4 linked regions of the Lonchura striata genome follow. The protein of the gene in region 3 interacts with the protein of the main gene of each other region in a biochemical or structural test. Links are inferred from orthologs where the notes say so. Each region holds a gene or a part of one and is shown on either strand. Other genes may lie near its edges. The genes, in order: JAM2, claudin-4-like, TJP1 and CLDN2.

What was found.
Region 1: the proteins of TJP1 (region 3) and JAM2 form a complex in vitro, tested with the Homo sapiens proteins (2 studies listed by BioGRID and IntAct, with this or other methods). The link is inferred for Lonchura striata from reciprocal best matches to the Homo sapiens genes TJP1 and JAM2.
Region 2: the proteins of TJP1 (region 3) and claudin-4-like form a complex in vitro, tested with the Homo sapiens proteins (2 studies listed by BioGRID and IntAct, with this or other methods). The link is inferred for Lonchura striata from reciprocal best matches to the Homo sapiens genes TJP1 and CLDN4.
Region 4: the proteins of TJP1 (region 3) and CLDN2 form a complex in vitro, tested with the Homo sapiens proteins (2 studies listed by BioGRID and IntAct, with this or other methods). The link is inferred for Lonchura striata from reciprocal best matches to the Homo sapiens genes TJP1 and CLDN2.

What each region holds. Positions count from the first base shown.
Region 1 is NC_134604.1:5,387,706-5,395,206, reverse strand, and holds the start of JAM2 (junctional adhesion molecule B), read left to right. Parts: upstream 1-4,500; 5' UTR 4,501-4,652; coding exon 4,653-4,707; intron 4,708-7,501. UniProt on the Homo sapiens protein: Junctional adhesion protein that mediates heterotypic cell-cell interactions with its cognate receptor JAM3 to regulate different cellular processes. Plays a role in homing and mobilization of hematopoietic stem and progenitor cells within the bone marrow.
Region 2 is NC_134622.1:1,360,104-1,366,190, reverse strand, and holds claudin-4-like, read right to left. Parts: upstream 1,163-6,087; coding exon 533-1,162; 3' UTR 501-532; downstream 1-500. UniProt on the Homo sapiens protein: Can associate with other claudins to regulate tight junction structural and functional strand dynamics.
Region 3 is NC_134613.1:9,929,414-9,937,173, forward strand, and holds the start of TJP1 (tight junction protein 1), read right to left. Parts: upstream 3,019-7,760; coding exon 2,676-3,018; intron 1-2,675. Other genes in the region: threonine--tRNA ligase 1, cytoplasmic, read left to right, coding at 6,526-6,777, 7,428-7,514. UniProt on the Homo sapiens protein: TJP1, TJP2, and TJP3 are closely related scaffolding proteins that link tight junction (TJ) transmembrane proteins such as claudins, junctional adhesion molecules, and occludin to the actin cytoskeleton.
Region 4 is NC_134616.1:18,447,076-18,452,725, reverse strand, and holds CLDN2 (claudin-2), read right to left. Parts: upstream 1,805-5,650; 5' UTR 1,675-1,804; coding exon 979-1,674; 3' UTR 515-978; downstream 1-514. Other genes in the region: protein ripply1, read left to right, coding at 4,843-4,851, 5,267-5,331, 5,401-5,635. UniProt on the Homo sapiens protein: Forms paracellular channels: polymerizes in tight junction strands with cation- and water-selective channels through the strands, conveying epithelial permeability in a process known as paracellular tight junction permeability.

The sequences.
Region 1 (7,501 bases), on a different chromosome or scaffold from region 3:
AGATAAATCAGGTATAAAAAATAATAAAATGCCACAGAACTCAAAAGGAGACAAGGCCCTGGTGACAGGCAGGGGAGTGGCAACCATTAAAGCAATACCCCAGGACATTGTAAAAAACCAGGTGCCATGATAACTAAAATTGCAAAAGAAAATGTGTCCCTTAAATTGGAAATATCAGCCTGTCCCCACATATGGTTGTTGATTATTCTTTACACTAAAGGGCAAGGCTTTCAAGCTGATAGATTCAATGTACTGCAGGCTGGCAGTTAAAGCTGCATAAAAAATGCATAGTACATCAATATACAGACTTTAGGAAAAAAAATATGATATTGATTGTAAAATATGCGTATTGGCAATTGAGCTAAATTAAATGGAGTCTGTTTTAGCAGTTTTACAAAATAATTTTCCATCAACTTATCCCATAGCTATGCCTGGAATCACATCAGAATGGTCACTTCACAGCTGTGTGCTACTGTATTCAGCATTTATTAGAGCAAATATATGTAACAACAATTTAGTGTGCTGAGAAAAAATATGTACAGAGATCTTATGCACAGGCTGTGGCACCAAATCTCAAATGGCACCTCTGACCATCTCAAACATAACATTTCTCTTTTTAGAAATATGGAAAAATCTGTTTCTTCTTTGTTAAATATGGAAGCATATTCTAAGGTGTCTTCTTGATCAAAGCCTGAACCATGTAAGTTCCAATAACAGTGAGCTCTCAAGTGTCCATATAAAGAATGATAGGCATGATTATTCACAGGAACACTTTTTTTCTGTGTCTTTCATTTTCTCCCTTTGTGGCTCCATATTCTACATCTTCCCCACTGCTACTCTTATCATTATCAGGCACGGTTGTCTACAAACTTGCTGGGTTATCTTCTATTATAGATGAACCAAGAGACACTAAAACATTTAAAGAGCAATCATGGTAGGAAAGCACAGGAAGAAAAAGGGAAAGCAGCACAGAACTGTAATCCTTTATGCTTTCACTGGCATTTCACTCTGCAAACAAGAGAACTGCTACTTCCAGATCACCACATATCTATACTACCTGCTTATCAGTGGGGTAAAAATATGTGCTTTCTTACATGGAATGAGGGTTGCATTATTTAATCTTCTTAAATTCAATGAGTAAACTTGAGATATGCCTGAATGTGACAGACTAGGGAAACATTGTCATTCATTAAACTTCTTTCTAAAGTTATTTTTAATGGCAGTAAAGGGATGAACATTCATTATCTCTTCTAGTCTGGCATGTGTAAGGCATAACAAAGAAGAGATTCCATAGAAATTAGCATCTTACTCTTCAAGGTGCTAATTAAGCAGCAAGTTTTCTTCATGTACTGCACTGCTTCACCACTTCTGCCCCTCTTCTATGCAGGTTTTTGAGAAGCGGAATCAGTCATCTTCCTTGGTAATCTATCTGTGATAGATTTGAGTATCTACATTGCAAAACTTTTGCAACCAAATTTAGCAGTTCTAATTTGTTATACTGATTTTTTATTGTTGTTATTTTACATCAAAGCTATTCTAGAAATCAGCGTGTTAATTGCAGAAGAATAAATCTAGAGAGGTTTTATTCCCCTCTGCAAAATAAAATACATTTTGAGTAGAGAAATCACCAAAAGGAGGATTCTATAACTTAATTTCTCTTTATTCATTTTTAGCATTATATAGCTAGGAAAGATAAAATGTTTCCCAAGTGAGGAGCCAGAGGCTTATGGTCTTTCACTGAATTTTTACAAATTATTTTTCAAAACAATTTTTCTGTTAGGTGAGAACAGAACTCTTCAACTGTGTGTCACAGACTGAAGTGGTTCATGCCTTAAACATTGTTATGAAGGAGTTTTGCCCATTATAGCAAAAACTATATTCCTGGGATTGTAACAAGACATCCAAATCTTGAAATCATGTTGCAATTACACTCAATTTTTCAAGGCTTTTCTATACAAAGAACTTGACCAGAACAGCTATCACAAAGTAAGATAGTTATTGTTGATTAGCATTTTGTGTGCAGATGTTAATTATAAACTATTTTTATTATTCTAAAAAGGAGTGTCTGTGGTAAGTTCTCCAAGAATATCTGTTAAAGTGAGCATCTCAAACAAATTCTTCCATTTTGGGCGCTATGTGTTATTTGATGAAAACATTTCTACTCCAACTTTAAAAGGTAAAAAATATGGATAGCAGTCTTGTGCCCTTCTAACAAAGTACTTAACAGTATTTTTAAGAATACAATTGTTGAGCAAAGTACATAGAGAAAAAGTGTATATATTACATGAACTATATGTATTACAACCATTTTTCCAGTAATTCTGTAAGTGCCTTCAAAATACTATCATTTAATTGCTGGTGTTTCCTGTAGTAGTATAAAGCAAGTGGAAAAACCATAATCTAGCCATTGCTGAAATAAAAGAAGAGAATGAAAAGAAAATATGAACTGTACAAAAAACAGAGAAATGTGGGGGAAACACTAGGAATTTGCTTCACTTGCAAGAGAAATAAAATAGTGAACAGAAGAAAGGAACTTTAGTCTGACCTCATGCTTGAATGGATTTGCTCTAGTATAAGAGCTGCATTAATGAATCACAGAATCACAGAAAGCTTTAGGTTGGAAGGGACCTTAAAGTCCATCTCATTCCACCTCCTGCCATGGGCAGGGACACCTTTCATTGGACCAGGTCGCTCAGAACACTTGAACACTTGAGCCTTGGACACTTCAGGGATGAGTCAGCCATAGCTGCTCTGGGCAATCCATGCCATCATGCTCACTGTAAGGTTTAAGTTTATATATAAACCTAAATTTTCCTCTTTCAGTTTGAACCCATTATTCCTTGTCCTGTCACTACATTTTCTGATGAAGATTCCCTCTCCTGCCTCCCTTCAGATACTAGAAAGCTGCTGTGAGTTGTCCATGCAACCTTCTCTTTTCCAGGCTGAACAATCCCAGTTCTCCCAGCCTCTCCTCCCAGCAGAGCTGCTCCATCCCTCTGCTCCCCTCGGTGCTCCTCTGGCCTGGCTGCAGCAGGTCCCTGTCCTTGCTGTGCTGGAGCCCAGAGCTGATGCAGCCCTGCAGGTGGGGTCTCAGCAGAGCGGGGCAGAGGGGCAGAATCCCCTCCCTGCCCTGTTGCCTACTGGATTTTGGATGCAGCCCAGCACAAGGAGGGGTTTTGGGGCTTCCAGCACACACAGCCTGGGCATGTTAGTTTTTCATCAGCCATCAGTATTAATAACATCCTATATTGCCTATCCTTTAATTTCATTCCATACTGCCATTTCTTAACATTCCCCATGTTTATAACTTTTCCACCAGACTCTTGCCATATTTAAATGTTATATCAAGACAACATTTCCGTCATTGTCTGACTAAATAGTAAAGCAGTTCTACTGAAATCAATGAACCTTTGTACTTGCCTAAAACTATGATGTGCTGGGACACACAAAAAACTTTTCTGTTTTCAATGGGACAGTTTTGATTTTATAAAATGCATGTCATGATACCAGTAATGTATACTGGACAGACATACATACATACATATATGTATGTAGATCTTTTAAAAGAAATATTACTTGTGTTCTGTATACATTTTTTTCCACGTGAAAAATAAACTAAGATTTTGCCATGAAGAGCATCATGGTATCCTACTTCCTTGTTCTCCATTAAAATAGCTGTTAGAGATTTTATTTATAAATGATCTTTCTTCATTTTCTTGCTTTCTAACAAAATATAGCCATCATTGATGTTCTGATTACCAAAAAAATTACTTGTGATACTTTTCTTGTTATAGAATTGCTTTACATCAGTGGTAATGCATTTTTAAGATGTGACTGGAAACTACTCAGAGACACTATCCACTGTCAAGATGAGTAATTTTCCTTGATTCATAAATTTAAAGAACTATTACACCACCTGTATATTTAACAAAAAACTCTCATAGTCTGGTATAAAATAATAACATAATAAAAATATTTTGAAGGTCACCGTGTAACCAACCCATCTCCTGCTGTAGGTGGGATTCTGTCCAATCCAGCTGTATAGACAGGCACACAAGGAGTCACTGTGACTTCTTTCGCCTTAAAACAGCGCCTCGCCCTCACATGGCTTTTTTGTTAGCCGGAATATCCAAGTGTTTGTTCCGTGACTTCACCCCGTTATCCCTACTTCCTCCCTGAGAGGATTTGCCTGAAGGGAAACGCGCCGACAGGGACAACGCTCTTCTTAGAGACATTCAATCTTTTCCTAACGAAAAGTTTATTCTGTTGCAACAAATGTCCTTGAGTTTATGAAGATGTCACAGCTTAAAAAGGAACAAAACGGAGACAAGAACTGCTGTATTCAACACCCCAGAGCCCCGGGGATGCGCGGGGGCATTGCGGGGGCGGTGGAGGAGAGGGATGCTCCCGGAGCCGCATCCCGCCGCGGCTCCCCGCTGCCGGGCGGGCGGGCGAGCGGGCGGGTGGCCAGGGCACATCCCCGCCCCGGTTCCTGCGCTGGGAGCGGGGAGACGCCTCCTCGGACACGTTAAAAGTTTGAGGCGGCTCCGGCTCCGGAGGAGGCAGAGCGCGGCCGCGCACGGCAACAGCTCCGCGGGCGCGGAGCCCCCGGCGCACCGGGCACCGCCCCACGCCGCCGCCGGTACGGGAAGATGGCGAGCCGCAATCCGCGCCTGCTGCTCCTCCTTTTCGTGGGGTTCTTCAGCTGTAAGTGCCCGCGTCCCTGTCCCACGGGGCCACCGCGCCCCGCCGCCCCGGCCAGCTCCCTACTTGCGGGGCTTTCCGACCCGCCACGCCGCCGGGCTGTGCGGGGGACGCTCCCCGCGGGATCTTTACGCGTGTGTTGAGGCGGATGGCTCCTGGAGGTGCCGCTTCCCCTCCCTCATCCCGGGGCGAGAGCAGCCAAATAGCGTTTCCAGGAGCGAAACGCAAACGAGCGCGTCCCCCGCCACACGCATTCTTTCCGTGTGTCTTTCCATGGTTTCGCTCGGATGTAACCTGTTAAAGGCCGGCCTGGTTAAGTGCGAGTCAGCGGCCGTCTGCCGCCGTGCAAACTTTAGGATGCGGGCTGCATACTTTGTTTTTCTGGCCTTTACAAGGTGAATGAACGAGGGGCGGGAGCGCGTTTTCTGTTGCCAGCGCTGGATGCTGCATCTTCGGAACAGTTCTTGAGTTTCCAGTATTTTTATGCTCCGAACTCCTTAAAAATAAAAGGTTAAGGTTACAATAAGTTGAGCAAAGATTCCCCAGCCAGAAAGCACGCATAAATAATAGGAAAAAGCAGATATGTGCAGCACATACCTCCGGAGAGCCACTGAATTATCACACTGTTAGTAGTGCCAGTTGTGATAAGGCTGTCACTTTCAGATCATGTCTTCTTACAGTGCTTCTATTCTATGCTTTTTGTGTCTTACTGATGTTTGGGGAAAGGGCTGTACATGAAAATAGTGTTTTGAAAATATTTATGTTGCACCATCTTCCAATGAAATGACCACCTAGGACCAGCCCAGGATGGGTTCTCAATCCACTGTAGATGTGGAACATCCATGGTACTGATGCTGGGTATATTTTGAGGTTTACCTTTCATTCCTCTTAATAGAACATTACCTAACAAAAAGCTTTGTGTATATAAGCTTCCCCCCCCTTTTTTTTTTTTTTTTTTTTTTTTCAGAGTCCTGCAGTGGAGATATTTGAAGTTATGCATGTCTAATAGGTCATTGGCTTGGAATTTTTTTTTCCCCTCTCTTTTTTCTCCTACAAGACCTTATGGAAATGTTGGGCTGTTAAATGAACAGCTAGTGCAGAAATTCTCTTTCTCATAGTAACTAATAATAATAAACAACATGGCTTGCCTTTTGGTTTTTTTTTTTTTTTACTTTATTTCTTCTTAATTTCATTATATATCTGAGCAGGTGAAACTGCTGTGATTTTTTTTTTTTTGGTGACAGATTTCAGTGTGTTCAGGCTGCTCAGCCTTCTGGTTAGTTGTCTGTTGGCAGTGCTGGCTTTGACTGCTAAGGAAATGATAGAGCGTGCAATACAGTGCATCAAAGTCTGCTGCCTACATCGTTATCAGACTTGAAAGTTTCTTCTTGGTGGGCTTTTTTTTTCCCCTTACTGTCCCAATTCCAAAGAAACACTAGGTGGAAAGCAAGTTTACAAGAAAGGTGCTGATAAGAAGTCCTTTCATTCAGAAAGTGATTGTAGGTGCATGAGTGTGCAAATGCCTACTGTTTGTGGGAGTCAGAGGAAACCCAGGAAGAAATCCAGGAACCAGAAGTCTGCTGCTGCTCCTGTGGCTGGAATGTGTTTACATGAACAGTAAGGCTGAGTAATTCAGGTGTCCAAGCCACCTGAATGGGCTGAGCAGTCTCTTATGTGGGACCCATGTGCTCTGGAGATGGTGGAGAATGGGCAGAAACTAGTGAGGAAAAGGAAGTAGTGATACCTCACAAGCAGCATATGGGTAACGTGGCAAGAGGACACACCCTCAGGCTGAGTCAGGGGAGGACATCAGGAAGAACATGGAAAAGGTTGTTAAGCATTGGAATGGGCTCTCAGGGAGGTGGAAGGGTCACCATCCCTGGAAGTGTTCAAGAAACAACTGGATGTGGCATTCAGTGCCCTGGTTGTGAAAGTGCTGATTGGTCAAAGGTTGGACTCAATGGTCTTAGAGATCTTTTCCAGCTTAAATGGTTCTGCTTAAATGGTTCTGTGGAGCAGGTATAGAGAACTTTCTTGGTAGCTGCAGAAATTAAAAGCTGTGTAAGTTGGTCACAAGGCATCAGCATAGCCAAGGTAGATGATGTTTGCTTTTCATTGGGAACTTGCTAAGAAATAGTCATGCAGAAATTGTAGTTTCTGTGAGCTAATCATCCCTTCCACCTTTAATTTATGGAAACTAAAGAAGCTGGGAGTCTTTAATCATGTTCTCTTTCAGCACAGGCTTCTGGAATTGACATCTCAAAGTTGAAAAAGGTGCCGCAGCGTAAGACTTGTGAGCTCTGTTGGCAAGACAGAATATGTACAGAAAATGTTATTAACCATCATGGCTTCATGGGAGGAGATAGTATGTACTGACCAAATGGCCTTTCTGAGAAGCATCCAGGTGTGATTTTTCTTAATATTTGTGCACACTGAAATGAGCCTTCAGCTGGCGATGCTGGAAGCAAATGCAGTACAATATGTGTGTGAGAGGACAGTGCAGAGGCAATAAATAGTAGTCTTACCTAAATATTTGATGGAGCTCACTGGGGTAGTTTGAGAAGTAAGTAAGGTGATATTTTGTTTATTTTTTTCTGGCTTAAGAAAACCCCACTCCTTAATTCTCAGAAACCTTTCACTCAGATACAGAGATTCTAGACCAAAGAAGCCTTTTGTTTCTTTTCCCCCCCAACCCCAACAAAAAAAATCATAAAGCTGACTGCATTGCTGTAGGAAGTGACAGTGGAAGTGTTTAAACTATGCTTTCTTGACTATATGTGAGAGACAACTGATGTAC
Region 2 (6,087 bases), on a different chromosome or scaffold from region 3:
TTAGAGAACAGGCAGGTGACAGCCCCTGTCACCCCTCAAGACCCTGCCGGCGTTTGCAGATTTCACAGAACCACTACGTCCCTGTGACCATGTGGGACAGGTTTGCTGTCCCTACCAGCACCAACACCGCCACCCACCCCGAGGGACAGACACGTCCCGGGGAGCTTCACGCGGGGAAAGAGAGCCCTGTGCCACCCGTGGGACGGGCTCTTGGGAGCTGTGTCACCACATGGCACACCCCGATACCGGGAGCCGGCAAATGCTCGAGGAGGAGATCAGGCGATGTCTCGGAGAAGATGCCTCAGCTGGACGCTGTGGGGGGGGGGAGCAGAACCCCCACCGCGGACAGCCAGGACAAGATCTCCTTGTCCCCTGTCTCAACCGAGATTAAAGAACCGGCTTCAAGCCCGGTGGAACAAAGGCAGCTCTGTCTGCCTTCCCCCGCACCGCCCCGGCGCCCGGCCGGTCCCAGCCCAGCCGGGGAGGATGGGTGTCCCGCGAGGTCCCCGCGCCCTGGGGCGGCCGGGGGCTCCTACACGTAGTTGCTGGCCGGCAGCGAGCGAGCAGCCGTGAACTTGGCGGAGTAGGGCTTCTCTCCGCGGGGAGGGCAGGTGCAGCACAGGATCCCTCCCCCCAGCAGCAGCAGCGCCGAGGCCGCCCAGCCCACGTAGAGGGACGAGCCCAGGTCCCGCTTCTGCGAGTCAGAGACCAGCGGGTTGTAGAAGTCCTGGATGATGCTGTTGGCTGACCAAGAGATGGGGATGAGGATGAGGATACCGGCGACGATGAAGATGATGCCGGAGAGGATCATGACCTTGGCTTTGGCGGTGTCATCCTCCACGCAATTGGTGCACTTGCCGCCGGCGACGGCCAGCAGGGTGCCCAGGATGGCCAGCACGATGGCCACCACCACCATGGCACGGGCGGCTTGCAGGTCCTGCGGCAGGGCCAGCAGCGAGTCGTACACCTTGCACTGCATCTGGCCCGTGCTCTGCACCACGCAGCTCATCCACAGCCCTTCCCAGATGATCTGTGCCACCACGATGTTGTTCCCGACAAAGGCCGTCTCCCGCCACATGGGCAGTGCGCAGCAGAGGATGGAGGCCAACCAGCCGATGACGGAGAGGGCGATGCCCAGCACCTGCATCCCCATGGAGGCCATCGCTCGCTGCCTGCTTCCCTGCCCGCCTCCCGCCGCGCAGTGCCGGCTGCCGGGCCCATGGCAGGCATTATATGCCTTTGCCGAGGGAGGAGCGCCGCCGCAGCCGCCGGCCTGCCGCCGGCACCGGATGGAGGGGTAGAACCAGTTTCCCGGGATTCTTCCACTTGTATTTCTCCCTGCAGCGATGACACTTAATATCCCGGTTGCTCCCACGGAGGAGGATACAGGGGACTGGGATCAGGCCACCCAGGTGTAGGAGTGCATGCCATTGCTGTGGGCAGGCAGGACGTGCCCAGGGCAGCACTAGGGCTCAGCCTGGGATGCTAAAGGGGAAGAGCTGGTGTCCAGGCACCAGGATATCTCTGCCATCCCTGCCAGAACCCTCTGCTCCATCACTTGGATGGGGTCCCTTCACGCTTTCATGCCTCAGTTCCCTCCAGCTCATAGTGACTGCTCCAATCCGGCCTCTTGCCCCCCCATGGCCCCATGCCGAGGGAGGTGCACATTGTCCCCTCCGGCTGCTGGGCTCCGTGCCCAGCAGGACACAAGCGGCTCTTGTTTGCTCCTTGGCGTCCATACCAGCACTTCCAGCCCTCCATCAGGCCTCGGGCAGGAGGTGCCACCGCCCAGACCAACAAACCGGTTGGAGCGGCTGCCGGTTCCCCACAAAGGAGAGACAGCACTGCCTGGGGCAACAGGGGGACAGACCCCAAACCAGCTCATCTGTGCTCCAGTGCCAAGCCAGGGCTCACACAGCCACCCTCAGCCCCAGCTCTGCCCGTGTCCCACTGCCTGCATGGTGGGGTTAGGTGGGTTGGGGTTGTGAGGGGCAGATGTGGCCTCGAGCTGCCCCAGAGCCATACCCACTGATCCCACTGATCATACCCAGAGCCACATCCACTGATCCCAGTGCTGATGCCAATACCGATGCCAGCACTGATGCCATACTGATGCTGCCCCTGTCCTCTTTTAATCCATGACTCCAATGCAGGCTCCCTCCCTGCTCCCTCCAAGCCCCTGTACAGGCACAGCACAACACCAGACAGACATTGCACTGTTTCATCACCCTAGCTTAATCCTGGGCCCCTGGAAAAGATAAGAAGAACGGAGATAATCTTAGTTTTCCTGAGCACTGGGGTTACCATCATGATCCAACCATTTGTGCTTATTGCTTGGTGCGAGGGACACTGCTCATGCCAGGATGTCCCTGGGCATCATGTCCCAGTGTGGTGGGACAAGCCTGGTGGCCCATGCACCGCAGTGCCAGGAGGATGTCTGGGGACATGTCTCACAGCAGACCCCAACCTAAGGAGATGGTCATGGTCCTGCCTGCCTGACTTGTGCCAGTGGAGCTGCCCAGGTCCGTCCCTCTGTCCTGCTGGAATGCTCGCATTGCTCACATACCAGTGTGTCCAGCCTGCAGCCAGAACCTTGTGGTCAAGGGTTCCCTTTAATCTACAGAGCTCCGGAGCATCCCCGCCGGGGCCAGACCCTGCCTGAGGCTTTCACCTCCCAGCCGGCTGCTGCAACCACTGCCTTATTTGGGGTTGGAGAGAGGCACACGCCCAAATGTGTGTGTGGCTCACAGCAGCCGTGTCCCCGCAGGCACGTGGGGACATGTCTGTGGGCTGGGGACAAATGGCAAGGTGGGGACAGGGATTCCCTCGCGCACAGAGCATCAAAACTTGAGCTGTTCATACTCCCCCTCGGAGGCAGAGCAGGCGCCAGCACAGCCTGTGACAGCCAATGACTGTAATTAATGCTGGAACGTGACATATCTTCCACCTGGCAGCTGCCACACAGGGGCAGCCCCTGTGCCCTGCCCCACATTCCCAAGTGACACACCCACCCGGACAGCACTGCCAGCCCCGTGTCCCCCGCACTGCCAGCCCCGTGTCCCCAGCACTGCCGGACAGCAGGACCGTCAGACACCAGCTTGGCGTGGAGGAGCAGCAGCCAACCCCAGAGCCCTTGGAGCCTGAGGATGGTAGTGCAGCATAGGGGGACCACCAAGAACCTCAGAACATGCCATCCAGGACAAGCACTCCACAGACACCAGCCCCACATGGACACCAGCCCCACAGCCCTGTCCCAATGCTAATTCCCAGTGCTTCCTGTAGGACCCCAACCCAGATTTTCCCCAGTGTCAGCTGCAAGGAACCATGGCACAGGCACATGTCCTGGTGGGACCACAGCCCAGTTGCTCAGCAGGAAGCTCCTCTACCCCAAAACAGGCTGCTCAACACATTCAGCCCATCCTGAGCCTTCACCACACAGCACTTGTCCCAGCACCCACTCAGGTGTAGATGCCTTGCCCCAAATGCAGTGGGATTTGAAGGACATGCAGGAGCCAGGGCTCCCATCCCTGTTACACTGCACTAAGATGGTGTGTGAAGGCAGAGCTCCCGTTCTGGCACATCCATCAGGAAACACCTTCTGACACTTTCCCTGGGTTCACCAGCATGGGGACACACTGCAGCCCCTCAGCTGAGCAGTGAGGCCATTCCCAGGCACAAAGGTGACATTAAACGCAGTGTCACCACAATGCCAGGCACTGCTGGGTGAACAGCAGAGGCTGTGTTACCCTGGCCTTGCTCAGGGTGGAGGAAACTCTGCAGGGAGAGGGCTTGGGGCATGAATCTCCTGCCAAAAAGGGCTTGGGGACATCCCCACCCACGACATGGGTGTCAGTCCCACCACACATACCCCACACCACTGAGGAGGGAAGAGCCCTTCATCCCCCAGGACCCACATATGGACCCACCAACCTGGCTACCTCAAGGTCCCAGAGAGGCAGGTGAGACTTGCCAGCAAACGATGATCCACCGGGATTTCTGGCTTCACATCTGCTGAGCAAGGCACGGCCAATAACCCTCCCACTCAGCCTCTGAGCAGTGGGGCAGCTTCTCCCCGCTGGAGGCCGAGGATTAGTTACCGACAGCCCAGAGACTGAATGTTCCCAAATAACATCCTTGCCCAACTTAAATCCCTCCGACCGACTCAAATATGCACAGTCAGGTTGTTTATCGCTATGGGAAAGCAAAGTCTTATCAGGAGGGGAACCGTGCGCCGGGACCTGTGGGGTCCCTGCAGGTCTCCAGCAGGGAGAGAAGGGACCTTCGGCCTGAAGTCGCTCTGAAACTCAAAACTCTGTCCGGTTTCTATGCAACAAGTGGCTCCCAACAGGGAAAACACCCCTAAGTGCTGCCAAGGTGTTGGCGAAGGTATGGGGGAGATGGTGGATCAGGAAGGGGGTCTCGGGAGGTGCAATGGGAGCTCCCCACGGGTGATGCTCGGAGGAAGCGGGATGCCACGGCAAAGCCCTGGGGAAGACGATCAGATCTGTCCGGGTGGGGAAGCCCCAGGCATGGTTCAGAACCACCAGCCCCCTGACACATCCCGCCGGTCCATGTCCCCCGCCGCCCCCAGCCCCCGTGTGCCGCAGCCGCCTCCCCGCCCCGCCGGCACACAGAGCTGCCATTGATGCTCGGAGCCGCCTCACCTGCTCCCGCCGCGCCGAAGGGGCTCCAACAATGGGCTGCCTGTGTGCCCTGGCCGGGGCAGAGCCAGCAGCCCCGCGCCTGAAATATAAGCAGCCGAGGCGGCATTTACCGCCCCGGCCCCGCTCCCCCGGGGGAAAAAGCGCCGGCATCCGACCGCAGCGGCGGGGAACACCCCGGCCCCGCCGCACGCGTGAGTGGGACGCGGCCCCGCGGCGCCCGGGGCGGTTTCTGCCGTCACCTCCTGCGCACCCCGGGGTGCTGCCGGCTGCATGGATGGGGATGCTGCAGTGGGTGTCCCCCCCTGTCAGCGCAGGTGTCCTTCCTTTGGAGCCACCAAAAGGGTGATGCTCCCGTGACCTTCGCGTCTGGCATTTGTTTGGGGTCTCTGCATCGCAGTGGAGCAAACCTGTCCCCGTGTCACCTCAGAGTTCCTGCAGCCACCACACTTTGTCCCCATCCCCAGGGACTCGGATACTCCTCATCCCTCCCTGGCTGTGCGGGGGTGCAGAGGGACCGCAGCGGGGAGGGAGATGTAGCAGTTGGGATGGGGGTGCTCTCAGGAATCCCCCAGGAACGCTGGCCCTGCTCAGCTCCTCAGTAAACACTAGTGAGCTGCTTTGCTCACCACAAGAATGTGTCCTGCCGGGGGTGGCCGGCACCCCGAAACCCCGGTGATTTGCCCCTTCCTCCGTCGTGAGTCAGGCAGCAGCAGCTGCCCCAGGCTGGCACGACACCGGACACAGCCTGTATTTTGGGCAATTTGGGATGACAAAGTGGGGACGCCACATGTGGGGCTCTGATTGCAGGGTCGGGGGCTGTGATGTTTCACTGCCCTGTCCCACCCCAGCTCTGCCCCAGTAGCTCCTATCCCATATACCTGCCTTGAGTATCCCACTCTTCTCCTGTCCCACAGCCCTGCCTGGAACATCCTCCTTGTCCCATATCCCTATCCAGAGGTATCCCTCTCTCCTACTTCCCACTCCTATGCGGGTTATCTCCCCTGCCCCATATACCCGCTATTGAGTATGCCCACTGTTCGAAAAACCTGGGGATATAGCCCTGCCCCTATTCCTGTGCCTCACAGCCCTGTCTGGGGTGCCAACCTCCTTTCCCAGAGCCCTGTCTGGGGTATGACCCTGCCCCAAAGCCCTGGTTGGGGCATCCCCACACCCTACAGCCATGCCTGGGGTCCCCTCCTGGTCCAGAGCCCTGCCAGGGGAACCCCTGCCCACAGCCCTGCAGCCTCATGTGCACTGGGGGAGGGTGTGTATGTGTGCACCTGTACCACCGCCTGTTCACTTCTGCCTCTGTCAGTCTGTGTGTGTGAGCCTGAGCCTGCCTGTGAGTCTGTGTGTGTGTGTGTCTGTCTGAATCTGTGTCCGTGAGTCTGTGTGTGTCTGTGAACCTGTTGGTGAGTCTCTG
Region 3 (7,760 bases):
ATATAGGTCAGACTATTTATAGAAATTTGGAAATAATAAAAAGTCTTACTCCATGTAAATTTCTTCCTGGCCAATGAAGAGCTGACTTTCTATTGTATCATATGGGCAAGTAGTAACCAACTGTTTCTCCGCATGAAATCACTAGGGGCTTTGTTTTATATTATAGGAAGAATTGTAAGTAAACTAATCAAGTCACTAATCTTGATGCATCAGTGGGGCTATAACGCCACTTAAGTTACTGTGAGGGTAATTATTGGAAATTATGAGGTGAAAGAGTTCAAAGTATTAAAACAATTATGTGCAAGCAACAGTATATCCTTCGGTGGCCACATTTCACTAGCACAGTTCACAGTACTTGCAGTGAGCCACATTAATCCACAGCCTGAGTGACCTCTTGGAGTCATGCCACATTTCCAGCACCTGTCAAATGGTCCTTTCTGTAGGGCATGCAGACAATGGAAACCCATTAAAATAACCATATCTGCCAACAGGGACAGGTCCAGAGAACAGAAACTGGTCCCACTGTACATGCAGCTGATCAATAACAGGAATTGATTCTATTCTGTGTGCTCAGTCAGCCTTCCACAAAGAGTGTCTTTAACAAGTACAGTGGGCAGGATGGCACTGCTCTGGTAGTGCTGATGCCACATAGCACAGGCATAGCAGCTTCTCGTCATGCATCTAGACTGCATTCCTTCCTCTTGATTCCTTTGCCCTATCAGTCAGCTTTTAGAGGATGGAGAAGAAAATTATGGTAATGGAAATAATGAACAATGTTCTTTTTCATCACATCTTTCTGTGCACCTTGTAACACGGTTTATCAAAATTGATCTATAAAAATCCACAATGCCAGAACACATAATGCATTTTAATTGAATCTGCAATGTATGTGTGCATGAATTTAAACAGATTATTTGCATGAATTAATGTGTATATATAGCATGTGTTTTTCTTTGCCTGTTATCCAGTCAATTATTACTAGCAAAAGCAGATTCTAAAACTAGCTTTGCATATTTGATAAGCACTACTGGGGGAGGGGAAGGAAGAAAGAGTGTAATAGTGGCTGAGCTAAGGCAGCCTGAGGCATTTTTCTGCCTGCACAAGGCACAGACAGAATGGATTGGGATGCTGTTCCAACAGTATCCTTTACTCTTGGAAATGTGTGGCATTTGCTTTCTCCTTTTTCTCTGTATCTCCTGTGATGTTGTCAGGGAGACAGAGTCCTTGACTTGCACTCCTCTGCTGAGGCCATCCCCTTTAGAGCAGTGCTACCCCCAAACCTTGTACCCACTGGAAGACTGAAATCTGTTCTGTGACAGGCCCCTGCATGATCTATTTAGATGGCATAGAATAAAAACCCTCCCTGCACTGTCTCTTCAGTTAAATCAGAGGAAGCCCAAATTTTCATTCCAAAAAGTGTATTCCAAAAGACCTGGCTTTATAATGTATTTATAATCAATTGTATTTATATTTCTATGCTTAAAAAAAAAAAAAAAGATAGTGAAAAGAGGGCCTAGGTAGCTTTTTTTATAGCATTGTAGTCTGTGAAGTATTTTGTACATGTATTAAATTCCCCAGCAACATCCTTTGATTTTCTTGTTACTGCCATAAAACCTTATTGTAAATTGATCTTGAAAAGCTACATTAAATGGGCATCTTTCATAATTAAATTAGGGTAAAATGTCTGTTGCTTTCTCATGTAATTAGAACTCCAACTGTCAATTTTAAAAGTAATCAGGCTGTCAAGAGAGGGCACAATCTAGTTATTTCAAAGGTCAAAATGGTTTTATATTTCAAATTTTTTCATATTTAGTTTATTAATGTTTTTTACAGGACTCAGACTTATTTTATTTATAAATACTTGTAATTTTAAGTTGCTTAAACCTGGTACTGAATAGATCAGTGAAAGATGTGACTATTTTAATTACATTCTAAAAGGACATTCCCTATATAACCTTTGAGCACAACCCTGCAGTCATTGCTGAGAAAAACTCTAGTTGACTTGATAGACTGAAATTTAGAATATAACAGACACAAAAAATAAAAATAGGTCAGTAAGATATAATTGTAAGCACCCTACGCATTTTTCACATTACCTTTGCTAATATCTAGCAAAATATTGTTCCGCAAATAAGTACGGCTGGTGCCTGATGGCCAAATCACTATTTGATTAATTTCACTCGTATTGTTGATATTTAGGAATTCAACCCTTTTTCACACAGTTGTTTACAGACAGATACAATAACTAACAAGAAAAATGTGAACGGGATCACTTACTCGGGTTTTTGCCTACAGAACTTCTCAATCTATTTTTAAATATTTCAGAAAGCGTAAGGAACGTAAATAATCAGTGTTACATTTCTCATCTAAGCGTTATCAGTAATACCTAGAAATCCTTTTCACCATCCTGACTTTCATTTATTAATAGCAGCAATTTGAGTATTCAGCATTTTATCAGGTTAAATGTTCTAAGTATAACAATAAAATATATTTAAGATTTTTTTTCTCCTAATTATTTTTTATTTCATAACTAAAAACCATAAAGGTAGTAAATACTATCTCTGGTTTAGTGCAAGAGAGAAAGTAAACACTAATTATAGCAAATAACTATTAGTGTCAAAGGATTGCAAGACATTACCAATATACACTTAAGCATTTCAGAGCAGTGACCTTACCTTCATAGCCAAGGAGAAAACATGTCAGCAAGTTAGGAGAGACCTCCTCCAAAATGGAACAAAAGGCAGAGAAAGCACCTGGGCCTTTTAAATAGAGTTTATCTAGAAAATATTCTGTTCTCTTCTTGTAGCTCTCCTGAGACCAAATGTCTTTGTATTCCTCCAAGGAAAAGACTCTCTTGTAAACCAAATATGACAGCACTTTGTTCACATCCAGCTCTTCCAGTATTTTCTGTCTCTGATTGCTTGGGATTTCAGAGAGCCACTTACTCCTGTTTTCATTTTCTCTTCTGGTAGATTTTGCACAGTTGTAAAACCAAGACTTGGCTGTTCTTCCAAACATTTTGATATTTAAATAGAAAATAGAAAATTCTACTTCTGCATTTCTCGTGCAGCATTCAGTATACAGAATCAACATAATGTGGATAGCTAGAATGCATATACATACTGATGTCTGTGATTATTGTAATACCAATGGAATGAAGAAGGCCTACATACAAATTATAAAGAAATCTAGCTCAATGCCTGCAGCCTCCTAAGAGGATTACATTACACTAATTAGCCCTTTACAACTGTTAACAGCTTCTGAACCATAATGATGAGACTGAGAATTGCTTAGCTACTGTTACTTTTTAATTCTATAACTGATCTTCAAAGATATCTCTTTGCAAAAAATAATTCATTCTAGAAGACAGCTGATCAAATGGAAATAATCTGTACAAGCTGGTACAGGACATAAAATAAAGCATCCTTTGTACACTTTGATTTTATATTCCTCAGAGGCCATACCCAAACCACAGTACAAATACCATCCAATTCTTGTTCTTCTATAAAATATTAGCTTTAATATGGAATGAAATTACACATTTAGAAAGCATGTTTCTATATATATTCTGTAAACCTATATGCAAAAGGTAAAAAAAAAAAAAAGTTACAGAATAAGACCTTTTTTGTCAAGGTAAGTACATAACTACTAAGAATAACAACATTTCTACATGTCTATATTTTTATGCCATTTCCAAGCAAAATAAATCATGTAGCATTCGTTTCCTGAGCCAGGTTTAACAGTGGAGATTACTGCAATCCCAGTGGAGGTGTTCTGCCACTGATAATCATTCATTGAGGATCACACATTACATAACCTCCCTTATGCAAATGATCCTTAGTACATGGACTTCTCGGTCTTGTTTTCATACTTTCTGTCAACATAAATTCCCTCTATGGAAAAGCTATGAACATTTCCTGCCTCCCCTTCCTGTTTCTTAGTCTATTTTTTCTTTTTCTATTTCTTCCAACTGATAATGCATCCATGGCCTTGCTCATGTGACCTTACCTGCACTTTTCTAAAGGGTAGTTTATCTGTTGTGGAGCAAACAAAAATATTTTGCCAAGCTTTTAGTCCAATGAGTTTTAGAATATTTTCTGTTCTTGTAATCTTAAGTTGCAACCATGGTATCCTCCTCTCAGGCTTCTTCTGTTTCCTAAAGTTCAAGTACATTCAGTTAACATTAAAGTTGACCACTGACCATATCCTAACACAGGAATCTTCTTGTGTATGCGAGCATCCAGTTAGCCAGCGAGGCTTCACGGAATTGTTTGGCAGCATTGCCTGTCACCTTGTGGTTGTTTGCAGATACAACAAGCCTCTGTGTGACACATCATGTGGGGCAAGGACCATGGGTTTGTGTTTTATTTGAAGAAATATTAATTGTCTCAGTTTACAATGTTATGGCTTACTGGCCATAACGCTGCTGTGATCATCTCAGGTAGAGCTCCCTGTGCTCTGCACACCACACACCACAGAGGGCCCTCTGGGGGGACAGAGATGGTGCAAAGCAGCTGCCATCCCAACATGAGCCATCCTAACCACGAGCCAGGGAGCACAGCTAAACCAGCTGCACAGGGCAGAGAAAGTAGCCAACCTATCTGGCAGGTCTTCTAGATAGACTTTGGAAGGAGGCTTTAACTCTCCAAATTCCCTCTAGCTTTGAACATTCATAGAGGTAGTATGATTTTTTTGCTCTCTTCAAATTGTTTCTGTCTCATAAGTTCTACTAATTAACACCACATTATCTCAGCAAATAAAAGATCCTGATAGAGGATATTGGCACTGCACATATGTTAGACAGCATCCTCTGAATCAGCCTTCTCAGCCTTCAGAGGGGAAGTTCTTCCTTACTTCACTAAATGCCAGAGCAAGCCCAAAGTTACACGTTTTTGAGTTCATAAGGCACTACCCAAAGATGAGATACAGAAGATATAAATTGAATACATTTCTCAGAGTTTAATTTAAAAAACAAATCTGTGTTTATTCTATTGTGCTGATAACACTGCTTGTCATCAGTATCCTAAGCAGACTAATTATTTCTGCACAGTAGTGAATTTAAAAATTAAAATAGCAAGTAACCTATCAAATTCATAATGAAAATAGATTTCTAAAGGAAGCTATAGACTATGTTTTACTTTCACAACTGCCAATCTAACCTCAAAGATACACATCCTTGCTATAGTGAGGGATAGACAAAGGTGTTGCCAAGTTGCACCTCTTCAGGAAAGGAAAGAAGAATTGTTGCAAATGAAAACAGTGCATTGTTACCAGTTTGCTGAGGTATATGAACCTAAAATTTGTGAGTATACACTATAGGAGAGTCTTTGGACTTGATGCACTGAATAATTTACTTTTTTCTTCTAAAGGAGTACAAGTTTTGAGCCAGAAATCTCCCCATTATTTTTGCTGGTAAAAGAATATATTCTTATAACCTCAAATATGTTCTTATAAAGTCTTAAAATCACAAAGAATGGGTGATATAGGAAATGTATCAAGTGGCGCACAGTTACAAAATTTATCTCTCTACCTTCTCACAAACCATATAGTTATTTCCCACTGTGTAAATAGAAGAATAAAATGCTAAAATTCTGATTTGCTAATTGCCAATTTGGTAATAAAAGCCCACAGCTTTTAAAGTCTGAGTATAGATTAAAGGTGAAAATTTGAAAATGTGTGTTGAGAAACTGAACACAGAAAAGTGAGTGTGAAGTACAATCAAAGCAGGAAACTAGATAAATTGAAGATGCCAAGGAAGTGTTTAAGACAAAAGGATACATGGAAGTACATGGTGGATATGAAAGATTTGTGATGGAGAGCTATTCTTTTCCCAGAGTCAAGAACTGAGGTATTTAACTGCAATGACCTGTAAATGATGCAGCAGACTGTTGGGCTGTGCAATAGGAATTGTACAATTCTCCCAAGCTCTGAGTCCTAACATCTGGCAACTCAACCCTCTTCAAATTATTTACCTTCGTGCTAAGTTCTGCAATTTGTGCTAAGATGCTGAATAGTTTCAATCAGCCTGATTTAATAAGAAAGTGTGTCAGCCAGGAAGCATCTACTACAAATAACCTCCGGCAGTGTTCATTTGACATTGAAGTCAAATAAGAATGCAATCTGACCAACACGTTTTAACACTGACATTGTTTAATAAAGCGTTCAAGGAAAGACTGAATGTGGCACATGAAGCCATAGTCCACTTGACGGTCCTCGGTCATAGGCTGGACTCGATGATCTCAGAGGTCTTTTCCACCCCAACTGATTCTGTAGATATCGACACTTCCCAGCTGCTCACCGGCCTCAGGTAGGCTGATGAATCCCCGGCACAGCAGCAGGTGCTCCAAAAAGCGGATTGCTCAATGAGCAGAAGGGGCGATGGGAAAAGGAACGCCCGGCAGGGACGCCGGGCGGGCTCCGGCGGCAGCGGGAGGGCCGGGCCGGGCCGGGCCGGGCGGGGCGGGGCCGGGGCGGGGCGGGGCGGGGCGGGGCGGGGCGGGGCGGGCGGAGCGCGCCGGGGCCAACATGGCGGCGGCGGCGGCCGAGGCGGCGGAGCTCCGGCTGTCGCGGCAGGAGCGGGAGCTGCGCTGGCTGGCGGCGGAGGTCGGCCGGCTGAAGGAGCCGCAGGAGCTGCAGTGCCCCGGCAGCGCCAGCCCCGAGCTGCAGCGGCTGCGGGCCGAGAACGAGAAGCTGCGGTACCGCCTGCTGCACCTGCGCCGCAGCCTGGCGGCCGAGCTGGGCCGGGCGGCGCCGGCGCAGCCCCCGGCCGGCGGAGAGGTAGCGCCGGGGCCGCTCGGGGCGGGGCGGGGCGGTGACCCCGGGCCGGCCGGGCCTCCGCCGGCGGGAAGGGACGGGACAGGGGCGCTCACGGGGCCGAGCCGCCTGTGCCCGGGCCCCGGGAGCAGAAGAAGCCTGTCGCGGTGCCTGCCCGCACTGGGCAGTGGTCTCTGCCCTTGCGCCAAGGCGGCGAGTTCGCAGAATCATAGAATGGTTTGGGTTGGGAAGGACCTTAAAGCCCCCTGCCATGGGCAGGGACATCTTCCACTAGACCAGACTGATCAGAGCCCCATCCAGCCTGGCCTTGAACACTGCCAGGGATGGCATCCACAGCATCCCTGGACAGACTGCTCACTGCTCCAACGGCCTCGCTGGGGCGATTTTGCTGGTGATAGTTGTAGTAGTGAAATTTGGGAAATTGTGTTGAGAGGACTTTGCTTGGTGAGCAGCACTGCTGTGTCTGCAGAACATCAAAAGGATGCAGTTTAGAAGTGCCATGAGAAGTCTGTGTACTGAGGATATACCTTGTTCCCTGTAATTGCCTTTTTAGCCCAATATTATACTGGTTTGGTTTGGTTTGTTTTGATGATTGCTGGAAAAAGCACTTGAAGGTATAGTAGAGGTTTACTTAGTATTATCACTGTTTTCAGAAAGTCTCCAGTGCAAATCCAGCTGATGCAGCGAATCAAATTAAAAAGAAAAAGGAAGATGAAGCCGTGAACCAACACCAGAATGATGTAAGTGGTTCATTAATACCACGTAGTAATAGGAGTGGTTTTCAGCCAACTTCAGAAAAGGCGCTCATATCTGAAATACTTTGCTGTATTTTGAAATCCCAGCTTTTGGGATGAAAGCTCGCTATAGCACAGAGGAAAAAACCCTCATATTATTCAAGAGCTTAATCTTGCATTATTAGGATTACTGATACATTATTAGATCTCTACATTTTATGTAACAAAAGGCTTTGGGTTATTGGAAAATAA
Region 4 (5,650 bases), on a different chromosome or scaffold from region 3:
TGCTAAGACTTCACCATAGCTGGGAGCTGCCTTTGGTCCTTGGGATCATGTTTGCCCCAGGAGTGCCAGTGCTCACTGGGATGGGGATGTGGGAATGCCAGGGCTGCCCATCACCTGGGGACCTGGGTGTGCCACACACAGGGGCAATGAATCTCCCTGTGGGCATCCCAGTCTCATCACACCTGCACTCCTGGAAACAAGAAGGGCTGGGGGACGGAGGGAAGGTGCTGCCTGCTATTATCCCACAGGGAGCTCTGCATGTCCCTGCTGGCACCCTGGCAGTAGTGGTGCGTGGCAACCTCCCAGCGTGGTGCCAGGGACAAACTGTGCCAGGGAGTGGCCCTCCTCCCCTTCAGCAGTGCTCCCACCTGCCTGGGCTCCCGGGTGACAAAGCCATCCGCTGTGGGGTGGGGGAGGCAGGCCAGAGCAAGGGCCAGGGGCACCTTTCACATCTTGGACCCCTCCACAGCCTCCTGCTGGCCCCTCGGTGCCAGAGAAAAGCCCGGATACAGTCTGGCTAGAAAGACGTATTTATTGCGACATCGGTTTGCAACCAGCACTCACCCCCCCAGCAGCGACTGCAGACCCCGCACATGCCCTTGGCCCTGCTGGGATGCCTGCATGGCCAGCGGCCGGTACCTGGGGCCACAAGCCCCCTCCCCTTTCCAGGCAGGTTCACTGGGGCTGCAGGCTGGGGTCCCGCCGTGCCAGGAGCTGCCCGCGAGCTGGCAGCGTGGGGTAAAGAACAGAAGCCGGATTCAGGGCCGCTCACCGGTGCAAGCCACCAGCTGGGATCTCCAAGCAGTCACAAGGCTCTCAGAATCCCAGGGAGAGAGCGGGGTCAGTCCCCCAAGCACATGAGAGGGCTGAGCACGGGCGATGCCGCCGTGCCCTCTGCTCTTACCGCGCTCCCTTGGTGCCAGCCCGGACGCTCTGGGGAGCCGGGAGAGGCGCCAGCCTGGTTCCCCCCTGCAGCCACTACACGTATCCTGTCAGGTTGTAGGAATTGACTTCACTCTTGGTTTTCTGCGCCTGGCTGACAGAGGGCCGGGAGCTCTTGCTGGCCAGCAGCTGGGGCCGGTAGGCGCTGGAGTAGGCGGCGGTGCTGTCCCGGGCAGGGCAGGAGGTGCAGAGGATCAAGCCACCGACGAGGGAGAGCAGGGAGGAGATGATGCCGAGGTAAAGAGCCTCCCCGAGCTCGAACTTCATGCTGTCGGGGATGACGGGGTTGCGGAAATCCCGCAGCACCACGTGGATGTTCCACACCAGCGGGATGAAGCAGAGCAGCCCCCCAAGGACGAAGACCGCGCCGCCCGCCACGGCCACGCGGTCCTTGGCCGGCGAGCCCTGGCTGAAGACGGTGCACCTCATGCCCACGACAGAGAGCAGGCAGGCCAGGGAGGACACGGCGCAGGAGCTCACCATGAGGGCTTGGGCCGCCTGGACGTCGGCGGGCAGGTTGAGCAGGGAGCTGTAGATGTCGCACTGGGTGATGCCCGTGCTGTACGTGGCGCACTCCATCCACAGCCCCTTGGTGAAGCTGATGGCCGTCACGATGCTGGAGCCGATGTAGGAGCTGGTCTTCCAGCTGGGCAGCAGCGTGGCCGTCAGCGTGCCGATGTAGCCCAGGAAGGCCACGGCGTAGCCCAGCAGCTGGAGCCCCATGGACACCATGGTGGGGGCTGGCTGTCGCTCTGTCGCCTGGCCGAGGCTCGCGGTGGTGGCCCAGGTCCCTCCCGTGTGCTCACGTTCCCATGGCCCTGGGAGAGGCTCGGCTCGCAGCGCTGCAGCTCCTCCCCGCTGCCGGGGGTGCCGGTTTTGTGCGGGTGGGAGCGCGGGGAGGTTACCTGCGGGAGAGCAAAGCAAATCTCCCCGTTAACGATTGACCCGAGCCCCTGGGGGAGCGCCAGGCGCCCTTTCACCCCCGCTATCTCCCCAGCCGGGCTCCGGGGGCAGAGCAGGCTGCCCAGGAAGGACGCCAAAGCCCTCCCCTGCACTGACGCCGCGGGCAGGATGGAGAGCCAGCTGCTGCTGGGGGAAAGTGCCCGCTGCCTTCCTCGAGCTCCCTTGTCTTCTGTGCTGCCTCCAGCTGAGGAAACCGAAAAGCTGTGGCTGCACCGTCTTATCTGGGACCTGCTGGAGGTGACTTCAGGTGGTAAAACCAAAGCTCCTCCAGCTGAGAAAAAGGGATGGCACCTCATACCCATCTGCGTGGGGCTCACCCAAGACATCTGCAGTCACCCAGGACCCACCCCGAGCTGCTGAGGCTCCTTTGGGACAAAGGGACATGGCCACCTGAGATTGAACCATGGATATCAGCCTTTCTGCGCTGCTGGGGACAAGGATGGAGAGGGATGCGTGTGACAGTGACACCTGCATCCCCAGGAGAGCCTGGAGGCCCACAGAGGGCAGAATTACATCAGGGCTGGCATCTCCTTCGGGATGCTTCGCCAGCCAAGCGGGGTGACCTGTCCTGTGGAGGGGTGAGCAGCTCGGGGTGCAGCTCACGCTGGGACTTTGTGTCAGTGCCACCTTCTGCCCACAGCCCTGTACACAGGCGGGGGGGGGGGGGGGGGTGGTTGGCAGAGGTGGTGGAAAGGGTTGGTTTGTTTTCCCTCTGCTTTGTTTAAAAATTCCTCCTTCTGTGGTGCCTTGCGAAACCGGGCTGAGCCCCGGCACTGCGGCCAGTGGCCTCCCTCTCCCTGGGAACGCTCCTGGCTGAGCATGCTGCCACCACCCAGGGCCACCCCTGCTCCTGCCCCCCCCTCCCGCCACCTCCAGTGTTGGCACCAAAGTTTCCCAGCTGTCTGTCTCCTCTCCTGTGCTCTAACCAAGACCTCCCACACCATCTCAGCTGCTGGAAAAGAAACACCTGGGGTGCTCAGGGTGCTCAGGGTGCCGGCAGAAAGGTGAGGGAGTGAGGGAGGGAGCTCTGTGGTACTTACGGAGGGGGCTGGAGGTGCAGGGGGGGACCCGGGGCGGCTGCAGCCGGGGGTCACCCAGGACTGGAGGCGGCTGCCTGGGGCAGGGTGAGCAGCCAGGGGATCAGGGGCTGCACTTGTTCAGCTACAGCTTTGCACAATCCACCTGCAAATCTCCTGGATCAGAGGCTTATTGCAGATCAGAATTAAACCCTTTGGGTGTCGGGAAGGACTGGGGAGCTGGGATGCCTTGCTTTGCTGGTTGTCTATGAATTATTGGGGTTCAGGTTTGAGGCTTGCTGTCATCCTTCTGGACAGCCTGTGACTGTGCCACCATCCATGTGTCCACTCTGGGCTGTGCTGCCTGTATTGGGGTTTGAGGGGCAGTGAAACACCAGCAGGTTGAGCTCCCCACTCCTCAGCCTGAACTTTTGGTTTACTCTTCCTGGCCCTGCTTGTCCTCCACGGGGTTTGTTGTTGTAAGACTACTGGCCCAAATGAGGAGCAAATGGGGAAGGTAATGAGAGCTGTGCTGGCCCCGTGCCCCCTCCTGCTCACCGGCTGCCACAGATGGAGAGGGGCAGGGAGGGCCTCTGGTGACAAATTGTGCTCAGAGCTGAGCAGGGTCCGGCCAGCGTTTGGACAGCGGTGTTTGGATGCTGATAGCAGAGCTACAGCAGGGACCATTTGCTATTTTCTTTCCTTGTCCCAAACTGAAACTCTCCCAGGAGCAGGAGGTGACTGCCAGTGGCACTGTCTTTGAGTGCTTGGGCAGGAGCAGTGGGCAGGGATGGGATGAGTGGCCCTGCTGGTGCCAGGGGCTGCATCAGCCTTGCACCCTCACATCAAGGAGCTTTTCTGTACCTCCTGGGGTGGCCCACATCTCAAAAACTCAAAGGAAAGGGCAGGGAACACTGGTAAGTGGTTGCTCTCCCATCTGTGGAAATGGGATCTGGCAGCTCCCTGGGGTGATGGGTCATGGATGCCTGAGCAGGACCATTGCCCTGATAGTGCCTGGGGTCCATCCCTGCCATGGGTCCTCCCTCCCTGTCTGCTCTTGAGCCTCCCGGAGCTATCAGCTGCCTCCTGGTGGCTCTGTGCTTGCCACCACTGTAGCCCATCAGTGTCCTCATCATGCCCGTTGTGCTGTCCCCAACACAAGCCCAGCACACTGTGCCCATGGCATGCCCAGCACTCAGCCCATTGCACTGTCCCAATCCCATACCCATCATGCCACCCCTCCGTTCCCCATCCCTTTCCCATCTCCCCTGCATCCCTTATGCAAATGCCTACAAAGAGCACTTAATCATCCTTGTTAATTGTCTCTACCCTCCCCTGTTCCCCCCCGGGGATTTTCTCACAAATGGTGTCCAAATTTTCCCTTTTGTGTTTTGCTTTTCCACCAGAGATCGCAGCCCCTCCGCCCCCAGCCTCCCCCCGGCCCTCTGTTTACACAACTGGGACAAATTTCACACTGCTGTCCCCACAGCCCCATCCCCTCGTTCCCCTGCCCCAAAGAATCTGTGAGTCACGGCCGAGGCTGAGCTATAAATGTGTCCCCACCGAGGCTCGGCAGTGTCAGAAGGGACAGCGTCTCCTGCCACCATGCAAGCTGCTGCCTGCTGCCTGGCTGCCCCCGGGCTCCCAGCGCCGCTGGCCAGTGCCTGCCCCCCGCCGGGGCTGGAGCAAGGGCCGAGGTACGGGGGAAGTGGGGCAGGCGGGGGCTGGGGAAGCTCCCGCTGGGCTCGGGTGAGGCTGCGGTGCTGGGGACACCTCGGATCCCAGCGGCCATGGGTGGGACGGAGGGTGCTGCTCGGGCGGGTGAGGCGGTGGGGCTGAAGCTGCTCTCTCCCATAGAGCCTTTCCTCTCTGGAGGCCGTGGCTGCCCCGAGCCCAGGAGGGACCCGCGACGCGGCAGGAGATGGACGCTGTGAGTTTGGCACTCCCCGCTGTGTCTGTCCCCACGCCCGTGGGGTTCCTGCTGGGTAAAGCCAGCCTGTCGCCCCAGAGGCTCACTTTGTCCCGCGGAGTCCCTTGTCCCACGGCCGTGCCGTGTCCGCCTCCCCCGGAGCATCACCCGCCGTGGGCAGGGCGAGCCCCGGGGGACAGGGCCCCGCAGCCCCGAATGTTCCCAGGCTGGGCATTCCTCAGGGCCTTAGCGGGATGCCCGGGCAGCGCTCTGGAGCACGGGGCAGAGATTACACTGGCTGCCAGCCTGCCGGGCGGCGCGGGGTGGATGCCAGCCTCCCCGGGGCGGGGGAGCTGCCGGCAGCGCGGCACCCGGGCCAGCCCGGCGGGGCGGGCAGGGCAGCGGGGCCCGGTGCCACCCGCCTGTGTCTCCCCAGGCTCGGGCGGCGGAGCGGGACGGCGGTCCCGGCAAGGCGCTGCCGTTCTTCCAGCACCCGGTCAGGTACGTGCCGGGCCCCGGGGCGCCGGGCGGGCGCGGCGGGCGGGGCTCACCCCGGCTCTCCCCACACAGGCTCCTCTGGCCCAAGTCCAAGGCCTTTGACCACCTGTACAGCGTGGGGGAGAAGCTGCTGGAGAACTTCCCGGTGCAGGCCACCCTCTTCTTTTATGAGGACTCGGGCAGCGAGGAGGAGGAGGAGGAGGAAGAAGAAGAAGAGAGGGATGATGAAGAGGAGGAAGCGACAGGAGATGTGACCGCGGGACACCCGCGGAAAGCTGGCAGCCCCGGCCTCAGCAGGCCGGTGTGAGGCAACAGGCGGGGG